Linked DNA regions of Mus musculus. The protein of the gene in region 2 purifies or fractionates together with the protein of the main gene of each other region. This does not show direct contact. Links are inferred from orthologs where the notes say so. Each region holds a gene or a part of one and is shown on either strand. Other genes may lie near its edges. The genes, in order: Atxn7l3 and Taf5l.

Evidence for each region.
Region 1: the proteins of Taf5l (region 2) and Atxn7l3 purify together in Homo sapiens (affinity purification with mass spectrometry; 7 studies listed by BioGRID and IntAct, counting the BioPlex papers as one, with this or other methods). This does not show direct contact. The link is inferred for Mus musculus from reciprocal best matches to the Homo sapiens genes TAF5L and ATXN7L3.

Annotation. Positions count from the first base shown.
Region 1 is NC_000077.6:102,293,802-102,298,304, reverse strand, and holds the start of Atxn7l3 (ataxin-7-like protein 3), read left to right. Parts: upstream 1-1,675; 5' UTR 1,676-1,902; exon of another isoform or gene 1,903-1,916; intron 1,917-1,950; exon of another isoform or gene 1,951-2,303; coding exon of another isoform or gene 2,304-2,594; exon of another isoform or gene 2,595-2,823; intron 2,824-3,245; coding exon of another isoform or gene 3,246-3,305; coding exon 3,306-3,356; intron 3,357-3,662; coding exon 3,663-3,795; intron 3,796-3,999; coding exon 4,000-4,171; intron 4,172-4,363; coding exon 4,364-4,461; intron 4,462-4,503. Other genes in the region: Gm33851 (cyclin-dependent kinase 13-like), read right to left, coding at 609-681, 1,128-1,540. UniProt on the Homo sapiens protein: Component of the transcription regulatory histone acetylation (HAT) complex SAGA, a multiprotein complex that activates transcription by remodeling chromatin and mediating histone acetylation and deubiquitination.
Region 2 is NC_000074.6:124,007,689-124,011,488, forward strand, and holds part of Taf5l (TAF5-like RNA polymerase II p300/CBP-associated factor-associated factor 65 kDa subunit 5L), read right to left. Parts: intron 2,146-3,800; 5' UTR 2,143-2,145; coding exon 2,001-2,142; intron 608-2,000; coding exon 503-607; intron 1-502. UniProt on the Homo sapiens protein: Functions as a component of the PCAF complex. The PCAF complex is capable of efficiently acetylating histones in a nucleosomal context. The PCAF complex could be considered as the human version of the yeast SAGA complex.

The DNA.
Region 1 (4,503 bases), on a different chromosome or scaffold from region 2:
AAAGACAATACAAGATTACCAGACACCTAAGAGTCTCTCCTATGCCATGTTAGCTTCGGTTGTTTCTGAGACAGGGTTTCACTATGTAGCCCCGGAAGTATTTATGTAGATTAGGCTGGCCTCAACTCACAGAGATCCTCCTGCCTCTCTCTACCTCTCTCTGTTGTGGTAAAAGGAGTGGCTAGGCATAAACTTAATTGTTAAGTCTTTCCTATGAAATAGGTACTATCATTATGTCCTCTGGTAATGGACAAAAGAGGCGTAAGAAGGTCTTTTGCCTGGTCCACCAAGTTAAATTCAGAACTAACGTGTGGTCTTATCCGCTTCGAAATATCTACCAAGAACCTCCATACATGTTTGCTGAAGAGCGAAGAACCAAAGATGGTCTCAAAGTACGTGATTCCAGAGTTTAATTTTATCTGAAGCTAGAGGCCTGGCACGCAAAAGTCTCGAGGCTGTAGACACGGCCACGTACATGTGAGCGCAGATCTAAACACCTTGGGTGGCTGAGAAAAGGACCTTTCCTCCCGAAGCTAAAGAGGCGAGAGATGGAGGGTAAGGCCACTCCCAGCGGAGCAGCTTTTAGTGTAGGCAGAGTCTGGCCAGTGCTAAGCAGTCTGTCTGAGAGGTGGAGGGTCCAGCGTGGGCTCCGGAAGCAGGAAAGGCGAGCAGGTGTGGGATCTAAATTAGGATAAGGGCGGGAGCGCGCTCGACTCAGAAGGGCGCAGCTTGCACTCCGCAGTGAACCTTCTCCCTTGGGTTCTTTTCGGTTCGGAGGCCTGGGGTGGCTGGTGACCCACTCCGAAACCCAGAGAACGAATGCAGACCAGCCCCTTTTAAGGTTGTTCCTTCCTGAGCGCCTAACTGCACCCCATTTCAAGCCCAGACTCTTCACACAACTGACTGTATGCCTCGCGGTCAAAGTGGGGGAGCGACCGGGGAGCAGAGCAGGGAACCCCGCGGGAAGGGCGGGGATGCCTGGGCCGGAAGGCGTCCCAGGCTCGGCTGGGAGCCGGCGCTCTCTTTCGACGCCACCCCGTTGCCTCCGCCCCCGAGCCGGCCGGGACGGCACCAAGTCTCCGCCCCTGGCGCACCGCGCACCTCACCTTGAACGCTGCCCCACCCACCTCGAGCCTATTGGGCCTCCCGGGCCGAGGACACTCCGCGATTGGCCGGACTCGTCTACGGAGGCCCCACCCATCTCCCCGCCCCAGGTCCCGTCCGCCGGTACTTTGGACGGCGGCGTGGCGCCCCTCCTCCCCTCCCGGTCCCCGCCCCCTGGAGCAAATGCTGCCGAGCTGCGGCCGCGGGGCAGATGCACGCGCTCGGGCCCTTCTAGCAGGCGCGAGCAGTCGCTGGGCGCGCGAAAGCGAAAGGAGGAAGAGGAAGGGAGGGCGAGGGCGGGGTGTTGAGGAGGGGCGGGAGGAGGAAGAGGAGGAGGTTGGAGCGCGCTCGCGCCTGGCCTCGCGCCCGCGCCGAGGGAGGGGGGAGAGGGGCGCGCGCGCGCACGCTCGCGTCCTCGCTCGCTCCATCCATCCATCCTCCGGTCGCGGCACGCGCGCGCGCTCCGGGCTCGCGCCGCACCCCCCGCCCGGGAGAGGCGGGCTGGAGTGGGGGGCGGGGGGAGGGGCGCGCGGACGGCGCGCGGACTGCGCGCGGGCGGGGTGAGGTGAGGAGGAGGAGGCGGCGACGGGACGAGAAGGGAGGGGAAGGGGCCATGGCCGCCCGGTGAGGCGGCGAGGCGGGGGGGCAGCCCGACCCCCCGGCCCCGGGCCCCGGGCCCCGGGGAGAGGCGAGGACGGACCGACGGACATGGGGCTCCGGAGCAGCCGCCGTCGCCGCCGCCGCCGGAGGACGCGGCCCTGAGAGGCCGCCGGGCCCCGGCGCGGCCCCCCGGGCGGGGTGAGTACAGAACAGGGACGGGGGAGGGGCCTGCGGGGGGCGGGGGGCGGGGCCCGAGGCGGGGCTTGGGCCCCCTCCCCCCAGGTCTGGGTCAGCGCCCCTTCCCCTCCCCCAGGGCCGACGCGGAAACGCCCGGCTTTCCCCGGCTTCCCGGCCGGGCCGGGGCCCCCCGGTCTCCCCCTGGCTGGGTCCTCCTTGGGCGGGGCAGGGCCGGCCGGGGAGGGGGCGCGGGGCCTTTGTTAGGGAGCCAGGCCCCAGCCCCCGGGACAATAGAGACACCCTCCCGGAATCCTCTCCCCGGCCCGTCCGGGATCTGGGCAGGCGGCGACCTAGTGGGGTCGGGACGCGTCCCACTCTGCTTACTCTCTGGGGGTCGGTCTGTCCCGGCCCGCCGCCGGCCTATGGGCGGCTCGGCTCTCCTCCCCCCAGTCGGTATGATGCAGCAGCAGTGCCGCAAGGACGGGAGAAGAGCCGCGACACGGCCTGCTCCCCTTCCCAGTGCCCCTGGCTCATTTGTCAGTCCCCACCCCACTCGAGGCCGGCAGCTTCTTAAACTCGTACCCACTCTTCAGTGGGGCCCCGAACTGTGGGCACTGTTTCTGAATCCTACGGTGGGGTTTTTGGACTTTGGGGCTCTTGGAGAGACTTCCGGGCTGGTCCTGAGGGAGGGAGGGTGCGATCTAAAAGAACAGGTAAGGGGAGTGCCCACTCGCGTGCGTACCACGGGGCTCTCCTCTGCTCACGTTCTTGGTGGCTGGAAATGCCCTTTGCCTGTAGGCTTCTCTGGGCTCTGTTCCTCTCGTAGAGTGGCAGGCTTATTTTAAGAGAAGACAGAGTGGGGTGAAGGTTGTAGGGTGTTAGGGCCATTCCTACTTCTGGTAGCAGTACCCCCCCAAGTGGACATCCTGGCTGAAAGCAGAGGTGACTATGACAGCCCTTAGGGAAACGGGGGTTGTCTTGAGGAGTCTGTGCAGTTCTTTGCCACACCCTGTGGGTTTGCTTTGAGGCCTTAGAGTTCCTTCTCCTCCCCCTGCTGCATTGCACCATGGGTATCAAAGAGGGGTTTGAGTTTTGGGTACCTGGGATGAGCTGCTGCCTCCTATAGACCTAGAGTCTGATTGGCAAGGCAGTACAGTTCAGGGCCTGAGCTTAGGCCTGGGAAGGACTAGGCCACCTCTGGTTCTCAGGCCCTGAAGGACCATCTAGACCTAGTGAACGGGGCCTTGGGGAGGGAGACACACTGATGCCAGGATTAAGCCCTGGGCTTGGAGGTGGGGAGGGGAGGTGGCAGTCTCTGGAGGTGTCTTGGACTCACACCAACACCCCCACCTCCATGTGTGCAGCCGTGTTGCCGCCCGCTGTGCTATGAGCAGTCAGAGCGCCGTCTCCACAAGAGTTTACAAATGAAAATGGAGGAAATGTCTTTGTCTGGCCTGGATAACAGCAAACTAGAGGTGAGGGCTCCCCCACGTGTGCCTCCGGTTCTTTCTCTCAATGTCTCTGCGTCCGTCGCTAAATCTGGCATCTGTGCCAAAGGAGGAATTTGGGTAGTCAGCCTTGTTCCTTAGAGGGAATAATAACCAGCTGAAAGGTCCAAGGATCTGGGAGGAAGAAGGAACTCAAAAATCAAGGTCAGGAAAGTGGCAAAGAAAGCAGCATGCTTGGTCAGGGCCAGGAGATTTGGTTGGTGAGAGTTGTTCAGTCAAGGTGGGGTGCTCCCCTTGTGACCATGGATGCTGGTGTTCTCTTCCGGGGCCCAGGCCATCGCTCAGGAGATATATGCTGACCTGGTCGAGGATTCTTGTTTGGGATTCTGCTTTGAAGTACACCGGGCTGTTAAGTGTGGCTACTTCTTCCTGGATGATACGGATCCTGACAGCATGAAGGATTTTGGTGAGCCTCAGGGTGGAAGGGGAGTGGTCTAGCTCTGCCCAGGAAGGGCTTAGAGCAGTCCTTTAGAAACTGTCCTATTTGTAGAGCCTGGAGCTCCTGTGAGCTTAGGCAAGAATGGATTTAAAGAGAGCCTGGGACCATAGGTGAGGACAAGAAGTTAGGGTACCCTGCCCGCTCTGATCGCCACACCTCTCCTGTCCCCAGAGATCGTGGACCAGCCTGGGTTGGACATCTTTGGACAGGTTTTCAACCAGTGGAAGAGCAAGGAGTGTGTTTGCCCCAATTGCAGCCGCAGTATTGCTGCTTCCCGCTTTGCCCCCCACCTGGAGAAGTGCCTGGGAATGGGTCGCAACAGCAGCCGAATCGCCAACCGTCGGTGAGAACCTCATGCTTCCAGCACCAGTGATGCGCAACTTGTGCAATTGGTACCGAGGTGTAGTCTTATGGGGTCACTGGTAGGGTACAGAAGGGGGGGCCACTCTTGGTCCTCACGTGCTTCCCTATAAATTCATGTGCAGATGGGTGATATCCTTTAGCCTTGACATTTTTTCTTCTCAACTTTGGGCAGGATTGCCAATAGCAACAATATGAACAAGTCTGAGAGTGACCAAGAAGACAACGATGACATCAATGACAATGACTGGTCCTATGGCTCAGAGAAGAAAGGTGTTTTGGGGGTCTGGGGAAACCTGGGAGAAGCTGGGGTGA
Region 2 (3,800 bases):
GGACGGGGAAGTAGGCTCAGATATCTTGGACTTCCCAATAAGCCCTTAGAAAGTGATCACGGGACTTTGTTTATTGCCTCGCCTGTTCCTTATTTGTGTTTATTGTATTGTTGCTTGTTCTTCAACCTAGAATTGACATTACTTGATGGTATTAAAATGGTATGAAAGCAAATTGGAAAAAAATAAACCTGACTCAGCCCCAGACCTGGCTAGAGTCATACTACAATGTTGTCTAATTGTCTTTTTCTTTTTAATCCTCACTCCTGCCCTGGAGAACCCGTTGACTGAGCTGGCTTGGTCAGAGGAAGTCATAAATTACGGTGCCAAAAGCCACAGGCAAAGAGAATAGGACAGGCAGAGTTCTCTATCCTTGTAAACGTTAACCTCAAGATCTAAGTCTCACAGTTTCATTTGCATGGAAGCATTGTGTTAAAAGTGTGGTGGTACTTTAAAACACTATGCTTGTGACAGAATCCATCACCTGCCTTCTCGGAGGACTCACCGGTGAGAAAGCTCCTCAGGCGTCCAAACTGCACTTCATACTGCTGGGGCTCTGCCTGGCATGGGGCTGCAGACACCGCATTGGCACAACCAGATTCTGATTGGACTAAAAGGAAGAAGACACAGAGGCAGGAAGGCAGTTACTGTCTACCACATAGCAGGACGGACAGAGGGAGAGCACAGAGCACAATGGCATCTCTCAGTAGTCTCTAGGACCCTGACAGACTGGGACAGGATGCTAACACCCCTTTGTCTCCCCTCTTTTCTGATACCCCATAATACTAGGGCAGAAGATTGAATAGCTACAAAGCAGGAGAGATGAAGAGAAGAGAAGAGAAGAGAAGAGAAGAGAAGAGAAGCACGCAATATTCCTGAGATTTATCTGAAAATGTCTAGCCCATGTTAACATGGTACATGTGCTATGGCCTGGGTTTGTCAATCTGAGAGGCCATGCCTTCCAATATGACAGCTCACAACTGTATGTAACCTAGTGCCAAGTGATTTGGCACCCTCACACAGGAGGGAAAACATACATGCAGGCAAAACACCATTTTTTTTTAAAATAATGCACACTAAAAAAATATATATCTCAAAATGTTTTTTTCTCCCTGAGCAGCATTTTCTTATCTCGGTGCTATGTTATGGACAGGTATCAGAGAAGGATTTCCCCCAGGCCTATTGCCTGGATGTGAAACAGGGCACCACAGGGATGATGGAGTGTGGGGTATCACTTAGCATGGCATGTTCCGGGAAGCTAGCAGGAGCAGCAGCCTGGGGTCTCACTCTTTAACATGCAAGCATGCCCCCTCTGACTTTATCCTCTCTTCTCCTGTCTCCTTATGCTGGAATTATAGGAGTATGTCTATCACATCTGGCCTGAGTTTGCTTCCTAAAGAAGAAACTTAAGCTTTCTGCACAACCCAGTGTAGAGTCTACACCATTCTGCTCTTGATTTCTACTGTAACTTTAAGGCAAACTTTCACACGACATCCAGAGACACTGAAGCTCTGCAAACGGAGAAAGACGCCCTCAAATTCCTTGCAGCAGCAGGTACCCACTTAGGTCGTACTGACCTTGACTTCCAGATGTCATCTTTAGTGACCTGAAGAAAATGTCATATGTAGCTACTACATTGTGGATGGAGGGATATTCGTGAATACAGTAGAACTGAGGGAGTTCACAGTATAGGCCTGACTCCCTCCCAGGAGCAAGGTTCTGTGCCAGCAGAGGCCCTGCTCAAGGCACTCAGGGTCTTATAGGGGACAAAATGCTGCACCTACCACCAGGAAGACAGAAAACAATCTGGACTCTCTGAGGAAAGATACACGGCTCTAGCAGGGCCTCCACAAGTTCAGTGAGGATAGTTTTGAGGGACAGGAAAGGTCTAAAGGCCAGTGCCCCTCAGAGCTGCTCACTGAAGCTTGGTAGCCTACCCTTTGCTGAGAACCCATGTGGGCCCTGACAGCTCCCGTTCCGGGACATCCATAGGACCCTGATACCTGTGAGGTTGGCTGCCATCTCCTCAGGGGTCTGTGAGAGTCTCAGGCCTTGCTTCAAAGGGCCTTCTGAGTCTACGTACTGCCGGCGTTTGAGGTAGCAGGACACTGCCACCTGAACCTGCTCCGTGCGCACTCGTTTCATGACCTAAGAAGAACACAGAAAGCATGGTGTAAGGGATGGCAGAGGTGTCACAAAGCTGTTAAGACAGACACTGAAGGGACCCAGTGAGGACACAGTCTGGGTTATAAACCTACATTCTCTTTCATTTTATCTACTTTTCCAAAGGCCATGGAGCCAGCTTCTTTGGGGGAGAACAGCAGGGGTAACACCCACAGATCACTCAGACACACTCATTCAACCAGCACATGGACTATCAGTGCTTGCATGCAGCAAGCAGGCCCAGTTTGAATTTCAGGCCACTTCTGCTGCTCTGTTAGAGAGCTGGTACCAGCAGCATAAGAATACGTGCAGCAAAGTAGGAGGCAGAGCATCAGACAAAGGCCAGAGAAGCCCAGATCCTGGGTAAGCAGCTGCCGACGAGCTGAGAACCTGGCAATGGGAAGTTCCCTGTGGCTCTAGGGATGGGACCCAGAGCCTCGAACAGCCAGGAAGCACTGCACCAGTGAGCTGCATCCCACCAGTCCTCCTTTCTCTGAGACAGTGTTGGTTGATTTGTAGTCTGGCATGGCCTTAAACTCAAAGATCTGCCTTCTTCAAGTACAGGGATTAAAGGTGCAACCACATCTAGCCCCGTCTTACTGCTGTGAACAGACACTGTGACCAAGGCAAGTCTTATAAAGGACAACATTTAATTGGGGCTGGCTTACAGCTTCAGAGATTCAGTCCATTATCATCAAGGTGGAAGCATGGCAGCATCTAGACAGGCATGGTGCAGGCAGAGCTGAAAGATCTACAGCTTCATCTGAAGGCTGCTAGTGGAAGACTGACTTCCAGGCAGCTAGGGTGAGGGTTTTTAAGCCCACACCCACAGTGACACGCCTACTACAACAAGGCCATTCCCAGGGCCCTGTAGACTTGCTCAAACATATGAGTCTATGGGGCCATACCTAAACATAGCATACTGCAAAATACATTTAGTCCAACTTCAAAAGTCCCCATAGTCTATAGCAGTCTCAACAATGTCCAAAGTGCAAAGTCTCTTTTGAGATTCATCCAATCACTTAACTAAAATCCCCAAATCAAGACAGAAAACCAGCCAGGCAAACTCCAAACTCTACATCTCCATGTCTGATGTCAAAGCAGTTTCCACATCTCCAACCCCTTTTTCATCTTTGTTGAGTCCAACAAACTTCTTTCTCCTGGGCTGGTTCCACTCCCTGTTAGCAGCTTTCCTCAGTAGATAGCCCATGGCTTTGACATCTTGGGCTCCTCCAAAGGGGTGGCATCATTTGTCCAGCTCTGCCCTCTGTAGCACTCTAAGCTCAGGTTGATCCATTCCAGTGCCACTGCTGTTCTTGGTGATCATCCCATGGTACTGGCATCTCCAATACGCTGGGGTCTTGCACTGCAACTAGGCTTCACCAATAGCCTCTCATAGGCTCTCTTCATGGTGCCAAGCCTCAAATCCTTTGCATGACCCCTTCAGTCCTGGGCAACTGAGGCTGCACCTTCATCAATGGCCTTCCATGGCCTCTCACAGTGCCGGGCCTCAGCTGCTCTTCATGAGCCTTCATGTCTTCAAAACCAGTACCACCTGGGAGACTCTTACACATTACCAAGTACAGCTGCATCACGAGGTACATCTGGAACACAGCTTCTCTGTGCTCTCAGAAAACACG